Linked DNA regions of Macaca mulatta. Each later gene encodes a partner of the first gene's protein in a complex. Links are inferred from orthologs where the notes say so. Each region holds a gene or a part of one and is shown on either strand. Other genes may lie near its edges. The genes, in order: BCL2L1 and BAD.

Region 1 (3,802 bases):
TCTTAAAAAAAAAAGACACATCTAGTATGGAAGACACATCACAACAAAAACAAAGTACAGAATCTAGTCATGAAAAGTGCTGGGAGTGGGTGCAGCTTAAGGGGGTAAAAAAGTGGTGAGGTGGTGAGGCCAGGCATGGTGGCTCACACCTGTAATCCCAGCACTTGGGAGGCTGAGGCAGAAGGATCCCTTGAGCCCAGGAGTTTGAGACCAGCCTAGGCAACAAAGTGAGACCCTGTCTCTACAAAAAATTTAGAAATTTAGCCAGGCATGGTGGTGTGTGCCTATAGTGGCAGCTATTCAGGAGGCTGAGGCAGGAGGATCGCTTGAGCCCAGGAGGTCAAGACTGCAGTGAGCCATGATTGTGCCGCTATAGTCTGGGTAACAGAGCGAGACCGTGTCACAAAAATTTAAAAATAAGAAAATGAAGCGCCGAGAAGAAAAGCTGGCACGGTGGTCATTCTGTGTAGTGTAGTTCCTGTAATCAGGAGGCTGAGGCAGGAAGATTGCTTGAGTCCAGGAGTTCAAAGTCAATCTGGATACATCTTTTAAAAACAAGAAAAAAAAATGGTAGCCATGCGTGGTGGCTTATGCCTGTAATCCCAGCACTTTGGGAGGCTGAGGCAAGCGGATCACCTGAGGTTGGGAGTTTGAAACCAGCCTGACCAATGTGGAGAAACCCCGTCTCTACTAAAAATACAAAATCAGCCGGGCGTGGTGGCGCGCGCCTGTAATCCCAGCTACTCTGGAAGCTGAGGCAGGAGAATTGCTTGAACCTGGGAGGCGGAGGTCGTGGTGAGCCGAGACTGCACCATTGTACTCCAGCCTGGGCAACAAGAGCGAAACTCCGTCTCAAAAAAAAAAAAAAAAAAAAAAAAAAGGCCAGATATGTTTGGTGGCTCACGCCTGTAATCCTAGCGCTTTGGGAGGCCGAGGCGGGCGGATCGCTTGAGGTCAGGAGTTCAAGACCAGCCTGGCCAATATGGCAAAACCCTGTCTCTACTAAAAATACAAAAATTAGCTGGGCATGGTGGCACATGCCTGTAATCCCAGCTACTCAGGAGAATCGCTTGTACCCGGGAAGCGGAGGTTGCTATGAGCCCAGATTGTGCCATTGCACTCCAACCTGGGGGACAGAGAAAAACTGTGTCTAAAAAAAGAAAAAAAGAAACAACTAAGAAGAAAAATCAAGGAAGGTAAGGGGAGGACAGGCAGAGAGAGATGGGGGTGGTATACTGTTTTAGACAAGGCAGTCAGGGAAGGTCTCACCTAGGAGGTGACATTTGAGGGGAGTCATGGTTGTGAAATGATGGAGTGAGGCAGGCGCTGACCTGGGGTCAGGTGCTCCAGGCAAGTGGGAACAGCAGACTCCTGTGGCAGGAGACATTGGAGGAACAGCAAGGAGGCCAGTGAGACTGGAGTGAAGTGTGCGGGGACAGGGGTGGGGAGGAGGCCAGAAAGTGTTAGAGCCAGATCCCACTAGACCTTGCTGACCAGGGTAAGGAGTGGGGACTTTGTTTCAGGTGTGATGGAAGCCCTGGGAAGGTTGAGAACTTGGAGTGACTGAATGGAGTGTGCTTGTGCGAGGGCTGAGATTCATGGGTCACTGCTCTCTACTGGCTTAATGTTGAGGATTCCTTCAGTCAAGTTAGCACCTCAGTGCATATGGCATTTTGCTAGGTACCAGGTATACAAAAATAATGATGCTGGCCTTCTAAGTGCAGGAGAAAGCTGCTGGAGGGCTTCAAGCATAGGTGTGCTATGATCTGACCTGTGTTTTTAGAAATCTCTGTGTGGAGCATAGACTGAGGGGGTTGTCAAGACTGGAAGTGGGCCCAGGCAGGGGTCACAAGTGAGCAAATTGGTAGGTGAGACCTGAGGCCAACTGGAGATGGCATGCCCTGACGGAGCAGCCACTCGCCTGTTTGGGACCGGTTGGAAATGTAGGCCCAGTGTGGCAGAGGTCTTGGTAGAGAGGCAAGAATCAGCCAGTAACTCATTCATTTTACACACACACACACACACACACACACACGGAACTTACTTTTTTGTTGTTGTTATTGTTGAGACGGAGTCTCTGTCACCCAGGCTGGAGTGCAGTGGTATGATTTCTGCTCCCTGCAACCTCCACCTCCCAGGTTCAAACAATTCTCGTGCCTTAGCCTCCTGAGTAACTGGGATTACAGGTGCGTGCTACCACACCTGGCTAATTTTTGTATTTTTAGTAGAGACGGGGTTTCACCATGTTGGCCAGACTTGTCTTAACTCCTGACCTCAGGCGATCCACCCGCCTCAGCCTCCCAAAGTGCTGGGATTATAGGCATGAGCCACCACACCCAGCCTGGAACTTCTTTCTTACATATTTCTAGGTGCCAGACACCAGTTTTGGATTCTGGCTCCACCACTGACACAGATGGGTGACCTTGATCTAGTCCTTGGGTCCTTGGCCCTTGGGCACAGCTTCTTGGCCTGTAAATGGGGAGAGACAGCCTGCATTGCAGAATTGTTGGGAGGATTAAAGGACAAATTGGGTACAATGCTTACTCATAAAAAAGTATGTTCTAAGTGTCCCTCTCCCTGCCCCACAGGCTGCTGCACCCTGGGCTGGGTAGTTTAGCCCACAGCTCCTCCTTCCCCCTATCATGTGCTTCCCTTCTGACTTAGATTCGGAGCAGAGGGCTGTTGATCACAACCTCCTGGGCGCAGAGTCACACTCCCTGCAGTGGAGGACAGGGACAAGGCCTCACAGACCCCATCATGGAGGCCTCTCAGTCCTGCGTCATTGTTACCCTCTCTTCTCTGCCGTGCTCTTCTCATCACCAACCTGCCCACCAGAGACTCCCTCCAGAGGGAGGAGCCTCTGGCTGAAGTCCCAGGACCCAGTCTACCCCTGAATTGGCCCCAAATCACCCTGGGGATTTAGCCCTGGGCTTCCTTGTCCCTCCCTCTGGTGCAGCAGTAGAAAGTCTGAGGCCTAGTGTCTCCACACTCCACACTACCCTCAGACTCAACTCCAGGCTCCTCGCGGCTTCCAGGCCACACATGGTCTGGCTCCTGCTCACCCCTGCACCATCATCTCCCCCATGCCCTCTTCTCCTGCACTCTGCTCCAGTCACCTGGCTTCCATCAGTTCCCTGACCCTGCCCATCTCGTTCCCACCTTGGATTCTGGAGAAAGTGCTACTTGCTGACCTCAGGGCACTTTCCTCCTCTCTACCTGTTTTCTGAGCAGTAACATGGTTTGGTTATCACCAACTGAGGGTCAAGAAAGAGGACCACCCTTAGCCCTTTACCTGGCCCAGAGTGGGCACGGATGGCTACAGTTTTTCATGTCACCAAGGCCATAGCATGCACATGGCCCCTTTCCCCACCCACCTACATTACTCTGAGAATTCAAACTGCGCCTTCCTTCTCTCTCCCTGCAGGACACTTTTGTGGAACTCTATGGGAACAATGCAGCAGCCGAGAGCCGAAAGGGCCAGGAGCGCTTCAACCGCTGGTTCCTGACGGGCATGACTGTGGCCGGCGTGGTTCTGCTGGGCTCACTCTTCAGTCGGAAATGACCAGACACTGACTATCCACTCTACCCTCCCACCCTCTGCCCCACCACATCCTCCGTCCAGCCGCCATTGCCACCAGGAGAACCACTATATGCAGGCCATGCCCACCTACCCACCACAGGGTTGGGCCCAGATCTGGTCCCCTGCAGTTAGTTTTCTAGAATTTATCACACTTCTGTGAGACCCCCACACCTCAGTTCCCTTGGCCTCAGAATTCATAAAATTTCCACAAAATCTATCCCA
Region 2 (4,441 bases), on another chromosome or scaffold:
GAGGCCCAAGGAGCGGAGTCCCTGGCCTCGGTCGCTCGTGTCGTCCTGGCTGGAGGGGGAGAGCCAGCCGATGCCCGTCGGGTCAGGGCAGCGGCCGCTGCAGGGGGCGCCCAATGCCCCGCTCTCCCCCTCCCCAAGCTGGGGGAGGCTCTCCTCCAGTAATGCGGATGGGGAGGGCCTCTGCCTTCTGTCCTTGTAATTCTCGAAAGCTGCCCCCCGCCCCACCCCCCCCACCGCGTCCACTCTCCAGCCTCAAGGGGCGGGAGGAGGCGGATGCCAGGTCCTCAGGCCGCTGATGGGAGAGCCGGCTCAGGTCGTGGGGACCCGGGGCTCCGGCTCCCCGGCTCCCGCTGCTCCGCCCCCTCCTGCGCCTGCGCGGGCGCTGTTCGCTACGCAAATTGCGCAGGGGCCCGACCGGCTCCGCAGTCCAGCGCCGCACCCGGCGTGAAACCGTACGAGAATTGGCGCGAGCTGCGCCGCTGGCGGGCGCCCGGGGTTACGGGAGGCGGCTGGAGGGCGGCCGAATTGCGGGGGCCGTGCCGCATCCAGGGGGTCCCCGGGTGGGCTGTGCCTGGGCGGTCCGCCTTAACTTGTATGGGGGGCCGGCAATTCCCACGCTCCTCTCTCCTATACCCAAATCGGGGTCGTACCACCCAGCCGGGGGCGGCAACGGATTCCCGTCCCTCGGCCTCTGAAGAAAACTTCCGCCCATAGCCAAGATGGCCCCCGGGCCCCGCCCCCGGGCCTGAACCCGCGGAGCCCCGAATCCCCAGCGCGGGCCCGCCCCCCGCCCCGGCGCGCCCGCGGCCCTGCTCACCTGGCCGGCCGCCTGCCAGGCCTGAAGCCCCCACGGACCCTACGGTCCACCCTCACCGGGTCCCCGGCCCTCCTCCCGCGCCCGGGCAGCCATCCCAGCCAGGGAGGAGGTTCCTCTCCTTATCTCCAGTGCCCCCGAGGTGGCGCGGGAGGTGTCCCCCGAGGCGGGCGGCGCGAAGCTTCCACGCCTGGGAGGAGGAGCGGGGAGCGGGACTTTCCGACCGGGCACCCAGTCCAGGCGGAGCGGTAACAATAGCAACAATAATCGCATCCGACGGCTGAGCTTCAGTTGTGGCTGTGCCAAGCGCCTTCGCCCGCAGTAATCACTCCCTTCACAAAGTTTTCACTGGCTCCTGGGGGAGCTGTCACTATCCCCACTTCACTGGGGGGAAACTAAGGTCCAGAGGGGCTGAAGGACTTGTTGGCAGAAGTGGGTCTCCAGGTTCCAAATGGGGACCCCAGAGAATCCCTCTCCTGCTCCCACACACGTCCAAGGTGTGAGGCAGCGAGGATGTGAGCACCAGGGCTGCAGGAGGGAGAAAAAAGGCTGCGGGCGAGTAGCCGTAGGTCCGGCGGGGGGGCGGGGCCGGGCCGGGTTGACCCCGCCTCTGGACCTACCCGAGTGACGTTCCGAGAGGTGATTGGGCCAGGTCGCTGACAGTTCCCGTTGCCCAAGCAACTAGGGCCGGGAGCCCGGGGTGCAGGAGGGAGGCGGCAGGCCCGGGTCAGGGGCCTCGAGATCGGGCTTGGGGTGAGACCTGTGCGCCGTCACCACGGGCGGGGCGGGGCCTGGGTAGGGGCCTGGGTCCACCAGGGTTCTGAGGGGAGATTGAGGCCCTGAGCCGACAGCATCAGCTCCCTGCCAGGCCAGACCCAGCAGACAAATGAGGGCCCGGGAGGCCTGGCGGGCCTGGGGGCCCTAGGGTGGGAGAGGGAGCCAAGGGTACCTACCTCTGCCTTCCAGGGCCACCGTTGGCCCCAGCTGTGCCTTGACTACCTAACATCTTGTCCTCATAGCCCAGAGCATGTTCCAGATCCCAGAGTTTGAGCCTAGTGAGCAGGAAGACTCCAGCTCTGCAGAGAGGGGCCTGGGCCCCAGCCCCGCGGGGGACAGGCCCTCAGACTCCGGCAAGCATCATCGCCAGGCCCCAGGCCTCCTGTGGGACGCCAGTCACCAGCAGGAGCAGCCAACCAGCAGCAGCCATCATGGAGGTAAGTACCCCACCACCTCCACCTGCCGGGTCACCTCACCCCCAGCCCACTGGCTCCCTGCATCCCAGTTGTATCCACGGGCACTGAAGGCTTTGGGTCGGTCCCTAACCTCTCAGAGCCCCAGTTTCCTCTTTTGTAAAACAGAGCAATTAATAACCACCATTGTAGGACTGTTGAGTTAATTAGCAGGAACATATAGGATGCACTTGATTACAGAGCTGGTGCACATTAAAGCTAAAAAATGGTAGCTGCCAGGCATGACGGATCACACCTGTAATCCCAGCACTTTGGGAGGCCAAGGCAGGAGGATCGCTTGAGCCCAGAAGTTCAAAGCCAGCCTGGGTGACTTAGGGAGACTCCATCTCTTAAAATATGTATATATATATATGGCAGCTATTAGTGTGGGGCCAGGACAGAAATTAGTGACAGGCAGGCAGGCAGTGATCCGAAAAGGAAAAGGGGCCTACCTAAGGCCATACCTGCCTGGCATTTCTTTCCTTAGAAGGTGGGGGCTGGAAGACTCCTTGGTGCCCTGCCCCAGGCTACATGCTTTCCCTGGGATTGGGCCTTCCAGCTCCCAGATGTGTTCTTTCTTGCCCCGAGGCTTGCGCCCACAGCAGGCCTGTCCTGGCACAAAGGCCAGGGGCAGGTGACCTCAAGGGGCAGACGGTCCTCCCAGACAGCAGGGCTGTGTGGGGTGGGAAGCACAGGCTCCAAGATGGAAGGATAGACACTGGGGTTCAGTGTCCATTTCTCAGTAGGCTCCACCACCCCTGTGCCCAGCACTGGCCTTGGCACCTGGAACAACAACATATATCTTCTGAACACAAAAACCAGGTCAAGCCAGGTGGGGTGGCCCATGTCTGTAGTCCCAGCAGCTCAGGAGGCTGGCTTGAGCCCAGGAATTCAAGACCAACCTGGGCAACATAGCCAGACCCCATCTCTAAAAATAGAAAACTAGGTCATGTCACTCTGGCACTGAAGCTTAAACGACCTCCTTCCCATTTTCAGGATTAAGAAGGCTTAAGAGGCCTCCCCTCCCTCTCTTACGCACAAACACACACACTCAATTCTCTCAGATTGGATCCCATAGCTTGCTTTCTTTTTTTGTTGTTGTTGTTTTGTTTGTTTTGAGACAGGGTCTCGCTCTATCACCTAGGAGGGAGTACAGAGGTGTGGAGTACAGAGGTGTGACCTCAGCTCACTGCAGCCTAGAACTTCTGGGCTTAAGCGATCCTCCCACCTTACCCTCCCAAGTAACTGGGAATACAGGTGTGTGGACTACACCTAGTTAATTTATTTTTAACTTTTTCTTTTTTTTTTTTTTCTGAGACAGAGTCTCACTCTGCCACCCAGGCTGGAGTGCAGTGGTGCAATCTCAGCTCACTGCAACCTCCGCCTCCTGGGTTCCAGCAATTCTCCTGCCTCAGTCTTTCAGGTAGCTGGGACTACAGGCATGTGTCACCATGCCCGGCTAATTTTTTGTATTTTTAGTAGACATAGGGTTTCACCATGTTAGCCAGGGTGGTCTCTATCTCCTGACCTTGTGATCCGCCCGCCTCGGCCTCCCAAGGTGTTGGAATTACAGGCGTGAGCCACCACGCCCGACATTTTTCATGTTTTCATTAGAGACGAGGGCAGGGGCGGGTCTCCTTTTGTTGCCCAGGCAGGTCTCAAACTCCTGGGCTCAAACAATCCTCCTGCCTCAGCCTCCAGAACAGCTGGGACCACAGGTACATGCTGCCACACCAGCTCATTTTTTATTTTTTGTAGAGGTGGGGTCTTGCTTTGTTGCCCAGCCTGGTCTCGAATTCCTGGGCCCAAGCGATCCTCTCATCTTGGCCTCCCAGAGTGTTGGGATTACTGGCGTGAGCCACCATGCTCGGCCTCCACAGCTTTCTTTAACTTTCTGAGCTTGCACTTGGCTGTTTTTCTGCTCACAAACTCCCCCTGCTTTCTGCCCCCCGCCACACACACTCAGCATTGACTTGTGTCTCAGAGTGAGTGTTCACCATGTGACACAGGTTGTTCCAGTTGCTAGGGGGACCTCGGTGAACCCAAGCATCAGGAATCCTTGCCCTCGTGGAGCTTACGTTCTAGTGACGTGGTGGGTCCATAAGCAAACAAGCACAAAAGTGCATCCTATCATGGATGAGAAGATTTGTATGGGGGCAGCATGTAAGAGTTAAAAGAAGCTGGGCACGGAGGCTTACACCTGTAATTTCAACACTTTGGGAGGCTGAGGCAAGCGGATCACAAGGTCAAGACATGGAGACCAGCCTGGCCAACATGGTGAAACCCCATCTCTACTAAAAATACAAAAATTAGCCAAGCATGGTGGCATGCACCTATAGTCCCAGCTACTCAGGAGGCTGAGGCAGGAGAATCACTTGAACCCGGGAGGCGGAGGTTG

The links.
Region 2: the proteins of BCL2L1 (region 1) and BAD are in contact, whole or in part, in a crystal structure (PDB 2BZW), measured with the Mus musculus proteins. The link is inferred for Macaca mulatta from reciprocal best matches to the Homo sapiens genes BCL2L1 and BAD. Residues at the interface, in NP_001276645.1 of Mus musculus: Ala93, Glu96, Phe97, Arg100, Tyr101, Arg103, Ala104, Phe105, Leu108, Gln111, Leu112, Gln121, Ser122, Gln125, Val126, Glu129, Leu130, Arg132, Asp133, Asn136, Trp137, Gly138, Arg139, Val141, Ala142, Phe146, Asp193, Leu194, Tyr195, Gly196; in NP_031548.1 of Mus musculus: Ala137, Leu141, Ala143, Ala144, Gln145, Tyr147, Gly148, Arg149, Leu151, Arg152, Met154, Ser155, Asp156, Glu157, Phe158, Glu159, Phe162, Lys163.

The regions. Positions count from the first base shown.
Region 1 is NC_133415.1:84,488,895-84,492,696, reverse strand, and holds part of BCL2L1 (bcl-2-like protein 1), read left to right. Parts: intron 1-3,424; coding exon 3,425-3,562; 3' UTR 3,563-3,802. UniProt on the Homo sapiens protein: Potent inhibitor of cell death. Inhibits activation of caspases. Appears to regulate cell death by blocking the voltage-dependent anion channel (VDAC) by binding to it and preventing the release of the caspase activator, CYC1, from the mitochondrial membrane.
Region 2 is NC_133419.1:10,113,465-10,117,905, forward strand, and holds the start of BAD (bcl2-associated agonist of cell death), read left to right. Parts: upstream 1-1,509; 5' UTR 1,510-1,567; intron 1,568-1,833; 5' UTR 1,834-1,841; coding exon 1,842-2,028; coding exon of another isoform or gene 2,029-2,032; intron 2,033-4,441. UniProt on the Homo sapiens protein: Promotes cell death. Successfully competes for the binding to Bcl-X(L), Bcl-2 and Bcl-W, thereby affecting the level of heterodimerization of these proteins with BAX. Can reverse the death repressor activity of Bcl-X(L), but not that of Bcl-2.